3 linked regions of the Oryzias latipes genome follow. The protein of the gene in region 2 purifies or fractionates together with the protein of the main gene of each other region. This does not show direct contact. Links are inferred from orthologs where the notes say so. Each region holds a gene or a part of one and is shown on either strand. Other genes may lie near its edges.

The links.
Region 1: the proteins of snw1 (region 2) and cdc5l purify together in Homo sapiens (affinity purification with mass spectrometry; 5 studies listed by BioGRID and IntAct, with this or other methods). This does not show direct contact. The link is inferred for Oryzias latipes from reciprocal best matches to the Homo sapiens genes SNW1 and CDC5L.
Region 3: the proteins of snw1 (region 2) and bcas2 purify together in Homo sapiens (co-immunoprecipitation; 3 studies listed by BioGRID and IntAct, with this or other methods). This does not show direct contact. The link is inferred for Oryzias latipes from reciprocal best matches to the Homo sapiens genes SNW1 and BCAS2.

What each region holds. Positions count from the first base shown.
Region 1 is NC_019873.2:1,355,241-1,358,993, forward strand, and holds the start of cdc5l (cell division cycle 5-like protein), read right to left. Parts: upstream 2,274-3,753; 5' UTR 2,105-2,273; coding exon 2,060-2,104; intron 207-2,059; coding exon 103-206; intron 5-102; coding exon 1-4.
Region 2 is NC_019882.2:3,679,095-3,682,847, reverse strand, and holds the start of snw1 (SNW domain-containing protein 1), read left to right. Parts: upstream 1-1,240; 5' UTR 1,241-1,353; coding exon 1,354-1,367; intron 1,368-1,789; coding exon 1,790-1,943; intron 1,944-2,017; coding exon 2,018-2,179; intron 2,180-3,195; coding exon 3,196-3,291; intron 3,292-3,437; coding exon 3,438-3,544; intron 3,545-3,753. UniProt on the Homo sapiens protein: Involved in pre-mRNA splicing as component of the spliceosome. As a component of the minor spliceosome, involved in the splicing of U12-type introns in pre-mRNAs.
Region 3 is NC_019865.2:942,898-946,644, reverse strand, and holds bcas2 (pre-mRNA-splicing factor SPF27), read left to right. Parts: upstream 1-1,295; 5' UTR 1,296-1,399; coding exon 1,400-1,492; intron 1,493-1,888; coding exon 1,889-1,981; intron 1,982-2,070; coding exon 2,071-2,141; intron 2,142-2,242; coding exon 2,243-2,404; intron 2,405-2,482; coding exon 2,483-2,533; intron 2,534-2,613; coding exon 2,614-2,694; intron 2,695-2,767; coding exon 2,768-2,894; 3' UTR 2,895-3,207; downstream 3,208-3,747. UniProt on the Homo sapiens protein: Required for pre-mRNA splicing as component of the activated spliceosome. Component of the PRP19-CDC5L complex that forms an integral part of the spliceosome and is required for activating pre-mRNA splicing.

The sequences.
Region 1 (3,753 bases), on a different chromosome or scaffold from region 2:
GTACCTGCAGACATGCAGGGTAAAACAAAATCCATCCGTTCATCTGCCTATAAAGCTGCCACCATTATGAAAATGGAAGATGTGTTTCGGCATCAAACTCACCATCTGGCTTTGCACTGTTTGGCAGACTTGCGGTGCAGCAGGGAGGCGATGCGGGACCACTGGTTTTTCCCATATTTCATTACCGCCGCCTTGAGGATCTCATCCTGAACAAACAAACAAATAATCAACAAAGACTTCACTAAACAACAAACGACTTACTGCTTTGGTTAGCAGTTGTCATTTTATGAATCAATGAATCACGCGCCTTATACTGTCTACATTTAACAGGTGAGCCCTGCCCACCCAGATCCATCCTGCAGGCCATAAATACATTACATTATCTCCTAATATTAGTTGCCATTAACTGCCCGTGTTCTTTTGTATACAGTGATGAAAGTCAGGCAAGGAAAAAATCCCTGAACTTTTCTTTGAGCGATATGGCGGCGCAGAGAGAAATTTTTGAAAAATACATAGTCTTAGATGCATTCTGGTGCATTCTGGCAGCTCGTTATTCACTTCTTAATCAAGAAACTAAGACTAATTGGAGCATCATCATTTGTCATTCAAACCCCTAGTTTGACTTAACATTAAGGACTTCCTGGTCCTAAAAAAGAATTTGGATCATTGCTCAAAGTATAACAATCCTACAATCTAAGCTTTTCCTAAAATCTGCAAAAGATACAATTGCTAAAATATAGTAACATCAAAGCCCCAAATGGCAAAAAGAACACCAGTAACTATGATATTCTATGAAAATACCTCAGTTATTTATACATTATTTCTGCTTTAGAAATGACTGATGTACAACATTCACTTGCACTGTTTTCTCAAACTATAATTACATCAAAATATGGGATCTGCTTTAAACTATAATTCTATAACATAATACATCAATTCTTTAACACCAATACTAAGTAATCTGGGAAATATCAAAACAAACATACAAACTAAATTAAATATTGTAAACATTATTTTTTAAGGGAGTGCGGGTCCAAACCATCAAATACTTATAATTAATGTCAACTATACTGAACTAAATCATGGTAATTAGGAAATACAAATAAATTAGATAGAGAAATGTATTCAAAATAAAAACTGAAACTCAAAACTAAAACTGAAATTATTTCTGAATTTGGTTTTGAGATTATTTTACACAAAAAAGTATTTGACCTACACTACCTTAAAAATATTTTTCTTCCAGCCAAGACCACTTCAATTTGTTTTTTATCGTCTTCTCACAACTGAGGTCGTGACCACGCTCAATAATGACGATGCCTGCCATTATTTTAACACAAATTTGATCGCAAACTCTTTAGATTTGTTTGTGAAAGTTTAGCGTGGGTCAGCCAGTTTTGGTCTCTAGGGAAGCAAGTCACGCTGACCACGTGGTGCAGACAGAGCCAATCAGACCCGTCGACGCATCCGAAAGCAACTAAAACGTCCCGTCATTGGTCAATTAGGCCGGGAAGACGAGAGATGGCCGCGACCATATAGGAAGCGATCCGCGGAGAAATATAGAAAATAAAGCTAAAATTCGCCGATTTCAGACCATTTTTTCATCCGGAAAGCGATTTGTCCGTAAAGATCAGGTCTTTATTTCCCGGAAAGTACGTTCGGTTTGCTCAAAAACCCGGATTTCCGGGAATTCCCGGAAGACTTTCATCACTGTGTATATAAATAAATAAAAATAAAAATTAAATAAAAAAGACATGGATGCTGATCTGCCTAAAGTTTCCCGGCTGCAGAGCGAGCAGCAGCAGCAAGTCTCCTCCCCGTGAAGAAGGCAGCGGACGTTCAGGACTAGCATAGAGGAAGACGGCTGCAAATGTTGCACTTTCACCACCTTCATCACCTTTTCCAACTAAAAACATCGATATCAAAAGTTAAATTCGCGGACAAAAGAGCGTGTACATAAACGTGCTGTGGAGAGTACGGCCTTTAGCTTTATGCTAACCTCCCGCCATTGGTTTAGGATTAGCCTAGGAGCATGCTAACAGTTAGCCATGTAAACACTTACCTCAGTGTTACGCCAAACCCCTCCTTTTATCATAATACGAGGCATCTTGATGGCTTGTTTTTGAATTCTCCGTCAACAAAATTAAATATTGCTTTAACACCCGCTATTCAGTCTAGCAGATTTTCCAGTTCTCCCTAAAAACTAGCAACACTACGAAGGAGAAACGACATGCACGGATACACCGGAAACTGTATTCTTACAAGTAGTCACCGAAAGGCACTGTGGGTAACGTAGTCTTATACCATGACTGTCTCATATGTATATATGTTATTTTAGGAAGCAGGAAAAATAATTACTTTGGGTAAATCTTAACCCTCCTACCCTTTTGCTATTAGTAGCAACAACAAAGCTGAGAAAAATGAGTCAAATGTCCCCAAAAATGTGTTTCTTACCAGATAAAATGACAAAACGGAAATCTAATTTAAAAAGATGTAATCATTACAATGTTATTTATTTTAAAAGTGTTCCATACATAAACCGAATACTACATACTTTGTAATGGTGCAATTATAAAACCTCTAAATAATGTCCTGCCTTCGCCCAACAGGAACCGGGATGGGCTCCGGCAACCCCGTGACCCCAGCAGGTCAACAAAATAGATGGAAGTTCAAAACAGAAGCGCTGGCATTGGATGTGTTCTCTACCCGCTGATTGTTTCACTGAAAACGGCACATACCCAAAGCTGAGTCCCTGATTGGTAAATGCGATGATTCTTAGGAAATATTTGCCCTATTCATTTATCAATTCATTATTTCTCATTGTATTTCCCCAATCAGTTAGGGGGGTCGGAGGTGTGAAAGAAGTGGGGGGTTGTGTGTAGAAGGGGGCCCTATTTTTCAATTTTTGTGACATTCCCATAAAAATTAGCGAGCTTCTAGTTGCAAAATTCTTTGCACAGGAGCTTGCCAATGACGACCGAGAAGTTAGATGATCGACGAAAATACCTTGTAGTTTTCGTGTGTAGCTGCTACTACAGGTTTTTTTCAAAGACCTCTTCCCGAGGCTAAAGGTCGACTTTTCTCATATTGTGGAAAAACATGAAAATTGCCACAATTTTGCCACAAACCAGCTGCCAAGCAGTGGGTTGTGTGGCCCACAATAATTTCAAAACGTCCTTTGGATATCCCCGACATGTGTTGTATGGTTTCCTTAGTGTATTTTGACTGTTTTTGTGCCTCCATTAGCGATTTTCGGCTCATTAATTTTTTATTATTATTTTTTTTATGGTTTCGCTTGCCATGCTGTCATCGACTTCATTTTTACCAGGTACTGGCGGTCTGCAAGTTTTGGTGAGTTTTCATGCATTTTTTTCAGAGCGGCTTTATGTCAGATCCAAACACTAAACATGAAATTTAATTAGTTTAATCACCTTTTAAATGAAAAAAGAGGACATGTAATAAAAATGTCAAGAACGTGTGAAAAAAAATGTAGAATAAATCAGCAAAGCAGAGTTTTACAAAATAAAACGTCCTTCATAATCAGATAAAAAATAAAATAAAAACACTGCCAAGTATGTATTTTTTCTCTCTGCTGCTTGGTACCAAGTGACCAGACTGGTACCAGTACTCATGATAAATCAATGAATGGATCAAATAGTTGGATCTGGTGGATATAACTAGTTTCCTTTTCTGCTTTAATGTTTGATATCAGAATAAACAGGCAGGTTTTAGGAGTGATGATCTTTTTATTTCAAC
Region 2 (3,753 bases):
TTTTGAGGATTCGTGTCTCTGCACGACAGCAGTGCAAACTGCTAGATATCTTAGAAAAACCTTATTGACAGATCACAGGCTTTAATATACATTTAGGCTTTAAGATTGACAGAAAAAGGATTTAGACTCGCAACATCTGCATGAAAGCAGGATATGAAATCACTTATCCATGAGTGGACTTAATAAGGTGGCTACCTGTTTTCTATTAGATCCTAAGGGATTTCCTTCTGTTTCAGCAAAAGTTCTCTGGCAGTCTGAGTCTCTTCCTGAATATGAATGATACTTTTTATTAAATATGAAAACAATCCAAAGGAAATGGAGGAAGTTTCCATCCACCAAAAAAAAATCCTCTTTTGAAGTAACAAAATATGTATCTGAAGTATCCTTATGTAATTTATAAAAACATTTATGCATTTTTTTTATTCAAGCATATCATTCTTTTATTCTGTCATCCTTGTTTTTTTATAAAATTATTATTTTTCTATTGTTGTTTTTTGTGTAATTTAAATGTTGCTTTAACTTCTTAACTTTACCTTTGACTCCCGTGTTTCTTCATTGGGAACCTGGCCTGCTGAGTCCAGGGCAGGGATCTGCAACCTGAGGCTATGGAGCCACATGTCCATCCATTGTGGCTCTAAGGTTTAAAAAAAAAAAGGGAATGATTTGAAGAAATTATAAATGTGAAGTTTGGAACAAAATAATAATAAGAGTTGTAGTGTACTGTCTGAGTGTTTTTTGTTTTGTTTTTTTCAAATAAGCCTTAAAGCTCTTTTTCTGATCCTCTGCGCCACAACACTGTGTAGTTGCTGTTCAGAGACAAAGTTCTTATAGTTTATAAGTTATGATGCAGCCAGAAGATCTTATTTGGTACAGGGTGTAATTTATTTTTAAAGGAATTTGGATAAGCGGCCGTCAGAAGTAAAGCAAGTCCAAATTTGTATGCATAGAAAATATAAAGGCTGTGTTATTTCAATTATTTTAAATATTTAATAACTTTATTTTATAGATGAATAGATGATTGGCCAATACAACATATAGGGTTTTTTAATAATTAGAAAAAAATGTGGGAAGCACAAGTGTATGTATAAAGTTTCGTGTTTTTTTCATTGGGTGGGTGAAAGCCTGTTTTTTGTGTGCATTGGCTTTTATTATGTAATTAACTTAACAAGTTAACATAACAAATAAAATGTTGTAAAACGAGTATGTACTTTTATTTTATTTTGTTTTTATCGAACTGGACATGGTTTGATATGTATTAGAGCTTAGAATTGTCAAACCTGGCAACCTTCTTCTCTTTTTCGCTTACGGCCTGTTCTTGCGCATGCTCACTTCATAGTTCAGGAAGAAAGGAAAATGTCTCTGACGAGGTAAGTCTCTAAGTGAGGCCTTTTGGCGAATAAGGCACAAAATGCGATCGGAGTTTCTGTCTGTGTTTGTTATACATTTATTTGGTTTAATATTAAACGTTAAATATTTAGTTAAACTTTAAACGTTTCGCTCTTTTCTGTGTTTATGATGTTAGCTAATGCTAGCTAGTGCTAACTAGTGAGACGGGGTTAGCATTAGCTTGTACCCTCAAACGACCGTTTCTGAAGTTAGCTTGTTTGTTTAATCTATTACTTAAACACATGTATTTGATATCGTGTTAAATAAACCTCTTTACCTGCATTAACGTTTCAGGTTTGCAGTTTTTGTTCCTGCTACTTTGACGTCGTTTCACGCTGATCCGCGTTTACAGCGACTTGCTAAGTTGTCTTTAAACTGCATTATGTGGACCTGTTTTGCACAGCTATTTACCGGCACCGACCCAGCTGTCTCAGGACCAGCTGGAAGCAGAAGAGCGGATTCGGACCCAGAAATCCTATTCCACTGCGCTGGTTGCGTCCCGTAAAGAACCCCCTCCTTACGGACACAGAAAAGGCTGGGTTCCGCGTGCATTTGAGGTGCACTTCAATGGATTACACATTGGTTCACTGCCTAGTTTCGCATTTCTACAAAACATTCTGGGTGTTCCTAGGACTTCGGAGATGGCGGGGCTTTTCCAGAGATTCACGTGGCCCAGTTTCCTCTGGAGATGGGCAGGAAGAAGAAGACCTCTAACGCCCTGGCAGTTCAAGTGGACGCAGAAGGGAAAATCAAATATGATGCCATTGCCAGACAAGGACAGGCTAAGGATAAGGTACTTGAGCTTTTCCTCTTTCTGGCAGTCAGTGAGGAGCTTTAAAACCCTATTCTTGCTCTTAGTGTCCACAAATACATGAGAGGTTCTGACTTCTTGGTTCTATTCCTATCAGACACGGCTGTGTTTTATTTGTATTTTTTCACATAAAAAAGAACCAACAAGTCAGTTAATAATACAAGACACGATGAACTTTATCAAACTAACATGAGAGGTTCATTATATGACTTGACAGATTCTAAATTGACCTCTAAAAGTCCAGCTGAAGAACCGATGTTCTGGATGACAGAATCTCCACAGAAATGTGGGACCTAATCTTAACTTTGGTAATACAGCTTGGTTTGGTTGTCATTTAAAAAAAATGCACACTATAGTGTTTTGTTTTTTGTAAAAACCATGTTTGATCCTTACATTTCTATTGGTGTTCATACACGACACTCCAGACGCATGTGGGAGGAGCTACCGCCAAACGGTTTTAGCCTCATTGCTGCAGACAGGGATGATGTTGAGATATCACGTTTTTCTACTTTGAAGAGCTCTACAAAAATGTCGATAGGCACGTCTCCATGTCTTGATCAATGAGATCATCCAGAGACTCCCACATCTGCTCCTGAAAGGGAAACCCAGTTTGACGACTTTCTGTTCTGCATTCAGGACCTTTTTTTGTGTGTCTTGATCCACTTATAACATCTTCAACGCATCCCGGTCCGAAGAGGAGTCCCTGATTGGTTGACGCGGCGCATCTTGTTTGCCGAAGTTCATATTTTTGAACTCTTGACGCACCGCAACAGCCAAAAAAGCGCGCGGCTGCCAGACTGGTGTGCAGCTCCAAAATCAAATCTGATTGCTTCTTTACGTTAAGCTAACATTAAAACTGGACACTCCTAATGCGCAAATGGCATTTAGTGTAAACGCAGCTTTACACAATCTATCCTATTCTATGAGTCTGCATGTTTTGCCATATTGGTAAATTTTGAGTGAGATTATTTCTATAATTTTCTTCTTGATTTTTGTAGGTGATTTACAGCAAGTACACTGATCTGCTCCCAAAAGAAGTTCTTAATGAAGACGCTTCAGGCCTTCAGAAGCCGGATGAGGAGGCTGTAGAAGAGGTAATTTGCTGCTCGGGCTCGTGCAGACATTCAGGATTCATTCATCCGATTTGGTGAAATTGTCTTTCAGCGTGCCCTTACTTATTGTTTTTAATTACTGTAAGCATGTGTAGTTTCTCATGGTTGGGGATGGATGCTCTTTGCAGTTGACTGAGAAGACTCGGGCCGCTCTACAAAAGCAGGTGTCGCAAAAGATTGCTGCAGCCATGCCTGTCCGGGCCGCCGACAAACTCGCTCCTGCACAATATATCAGGTAGCAATTTACCTGAATCATAAACAGTACTTCTATTTTAGATCGAGGACTTCTTTGTTGTTCCATCAGATCCTCTTGGATTTTGCAATCACACCAGTTCACATGAATTCAACCAATTCTTGCGACGTTTTTGCCCAATTACTTTTGCCAGCTGCTCTTATTTTAAACACTTTCTCCACCAATCAAGCGTAGAGGCTGAAGCATAAACA
Region 3 (3,747 bases), on a different chromosome or scaffold from region 2:
ATCCCTTTATGCATTTGACCAATCAGATATAGCCCTTTACGTTGTTGACCAATCGGATGGAGCTCTTACGTTAGATGTTGCCCTACTAATTAGACGAGGGTCATTTGGAAGATAAATTTAAGGTATTTTGACTCTTATTTATACTAAACATTTGAAGGGAAATGGAAATGTTTTTGTTGTTTTTGCTATTTGTTCATTTTTTGCAAGTTATATCTTCATCGCAATATTGATCACTAATATCGCATATAGCGAGTTTTCCTCATATTGTGCGGCCCTACATACTATAATGCATACACATACCAGTACTTCCCCTTTCTTGGCTATTTACTCTTGGTTATTATTTCTGTATTGTTAAGATGAAATGCCTTCAACGTAAACTTATAATTTTATATACATTATTTAAAAAAAAATATTGAAGTGATGATGAAGTATTTTTACAAGATTGATCACATTTGTATCAGAAGAAAAAGCTATTTATATATTTTTTTAGAACAACAACAAAAGAAAGATAAAAAAAGCATTTATTTGTTGAAATTTAATATGAAACTCTTTAAAGGTTTACTGTAGTGCAGTAATAGCTGAAACCTGAAGTTTGTTACACTACACATCTGCAAGAAGCTCCTGGGGATCTTCTATCAGTCTGTGGTCGCCAGTGTAATAACCTACGCTGTGGTGTGCTGGGGGGGGAGCACCTCAAAGACAGACTTCTCCAGGCTGGAGAAGCTGATCAGGCGGGCTGGTTCTGTGGTTGGCACAAGGCTGGACCGTCTGGCTACTGTGGCAGAGAGAAGGACACTGAAAAAACTGACAGGTATCCTGGACAATACCAGCCACCCTCTGCACATGACTATCGGTAGCCAGAGAAGCACCTTCAGCAAGAGGCTGCTCCTCCCAAGGTGCGGGACTAATAGACTGAGGAACTCCTTTGTCCCCCGGGCCATCAAACTCTTTACCACCCCCGGGCCATCAAACCACTTAGGAGGGGGGAGGGGGACAGAAAGGAAAGGGAAAGGGCCTGAATCACTTTTTTTTTTTTGTATATACTGTTTGCAGATATTTAAATTGTTTTTTACTGTTCTAATCTTCCTCATTTTTCTAGTCACTGTGCTGCTTTTTCCTTTTTCCTATATGTATGTCAACCAGTGCTGTATGCGATGGAGATGTCAATTTCCATGCGGGAACCTCCCAAATGGATAAATAAAGTTGTCTATCTATCTACTAAGCTGCAGTTCCATTCCTCAACGCAAGAGGCGACAATCACGATTAATACAACACCGTTGAGACTTTTATTTCGGAAAGTTTTGACCGGAAACGGAAGTTTCTGATTAGCCGTTTGGAGTCTGTTAGCAGAAAAGGACTTTCTTTCTTTATTTTTATTTTTTTTTACTGGGGAGCGAACATGGCTGGAACGGCCTCGGTCGCTGGCGAAGTGTTTGTTGATGCGTTGCCGTATTTTGATCAAGGTTATGACGCACCAGGTGTCAGAGAAGCGGTGGGTAAACAAGAATGCTGCTTTAAAAGCTAGCTAACTTATAGCTAGTTAGAACTGTTAGCTAGCGATGCCGCATGGTAACGCGCCGTTCAATGTATAGTTGGCCAAACCATTATTATTATGATCGCCTGTATATTTCTTTAGATCTTGTCATTATAGGTTTCTGCTTTGAAACTATACAAGTTCATAATTTAGGATGAAAACCTTCAAAGCCAAAGCTGCTGTTTACCTCATCGGGTAAAACAACAGCTGAGGGGTTTGAAACAGCCGGCAGATCTGGAGAACCAGGGTTTGGTGACACTAAGTTGACATGTTAGATCATCAGGGGTTGTGGCTCATTTTTAAATCATGTTTGTATGAAAAATGGAGAGAAATCATTTGTACTTGGCCCTTCAGGCCGCTGCGTTGGTGGAAGAAGAGACCAGAAGGTATCGCCCAACTAAGAACTACCTGAGCTACCTGCCCATGCCGGAGTTCTCGCCGTTTGAGGTGAAAACCTGCAGACATTTGAAACTTGATTCCTAGTCTGGGTTGGCTAACCGGTTTATAATCCTTTCCCGTTTTGTTTTGGGTTTCAGACAGAAATCATGAGGAATGAGTTTGAGCGATTAGCCGCTCGACAACCAATGGACCTCCTCAGCATGAAGAGGTAAAAAACACACTCTGTCTGTCTGTACAATATTTCTGTAAATGTAAAAGAAAGAGAAAGTTTAGGGTGATTCCATAGAACGATTCTATTCTGCTGTGGAGGTATGAGCTTCCAGCCCCCACATCGGGACAGAAGAACGACATTACCGCCTGGCAGGAGTGTGTCAATAACTCCATGGCCCAGCTGGAGCACCAGGCCATCCGGATCGAGAACCTGGAGCTCATGTCGCATTATGGAACAAACGCGTGGAAGGTCTACAACGAGTGAGTGGCGGCCTGTGGGTCTCACCCTTTGGTGTCTGACTCTTCTGAAGACTCAAAGCTAATGTTGTCCCTTTTCAGCAATCTGGCCTTCCTGATTGAGCTGGCTCAAAAGGAACTCCACAAGTTCAGGTGATTGAGGATTGGATCATACATGCCTGAAAAGATCCAACGGTTACCATGGTTACACATTTCTGAACTTATGCCGGCAGGAAGAAGATCCAGGACCTGAACTGGCAGCGCAAAAACGATCAGTTGGCTGCAGGCGCCAAGCTGCGAGAGCTGGAGTCCAAGTAGGTTCTTCTTAAGTTCTGGTGTTCTCGTGGATGAGGGGTGATGTCTGACTCTGGTTCTGATTCCCGCCAGCTGGGTGTCGCTGGTCAGTAAAAACTATGAGATCGAGCGCGCCATCGTCCAGCTGGAGAACGAGGTGGCTCAGCTGAGGCAGCAGCAAGGGGAGGAGAACAAGGAGAACATCCGACAGGACTTTTAGGAGTCACCTCACCGGGATCCGTTGGATGGATCTGATTCGGTTGGTTTGGACGACTCGATGACTGCTGGAGCGTAGCGGGTCACTCGACTCCAAGACGGATGATGTTTGAAAGGCGTCGGTTTCCTCTGATGGAACCGTTGGGTCTTTTGTGTTCAGTTACACACAAATCATGGTTTGAAACTCATGATCGATCGACATGATCGATGTCTTTGTAGCTTGTTGTACAGTTTCTAAGTTGTGGTGGAGAAAAAAAATCCTGTTTTTGATTCAACTTTTGTTTTTTATCGTTTTAATAAAATGAACGTTTCATACACATTGTTATTTTTTTCAGTCTTTTACCTGTAAGTCTCTGAGCTTCAGAGCTGCAGCTGATGAGCTGGAAGCTAACAGATGGGAGCAGCTGGATGGTTTGTCATTCATCCCTCTTGAAGAACAGTGAAACCTAAAGTCTGAGGCCTAGAGTGAGGCGGTTTTGTGTCAGATCCCCTGTCTTCTGTACATCCACTGAACTTTGATCTCAGAAATCTGCAGCATTTTGTGCTGATCCATTTTCAAAAGTCTCAGCGTCTTCCATGACTTCCTGGATGAGTCTTCATCTTTGTTGTTGGTCAGTGGCACAGAAAGGTCACAACACATTAACTCACAACACATTAACTTACCACACAACACATTAACTCACAACCCAAAAACTCACAAAACATTAACTCACAATGGAAGTAAAGCTGCAATGGAGGTGCTTTTATCCTGAAATTAATTAGTGTATATATATATATATATATATATACACATCAAGCTCAAGGCCCCAACTGACAGTGTCCTCAGTGAATGTCTCAGGCAATGGAGAACAGAGGAT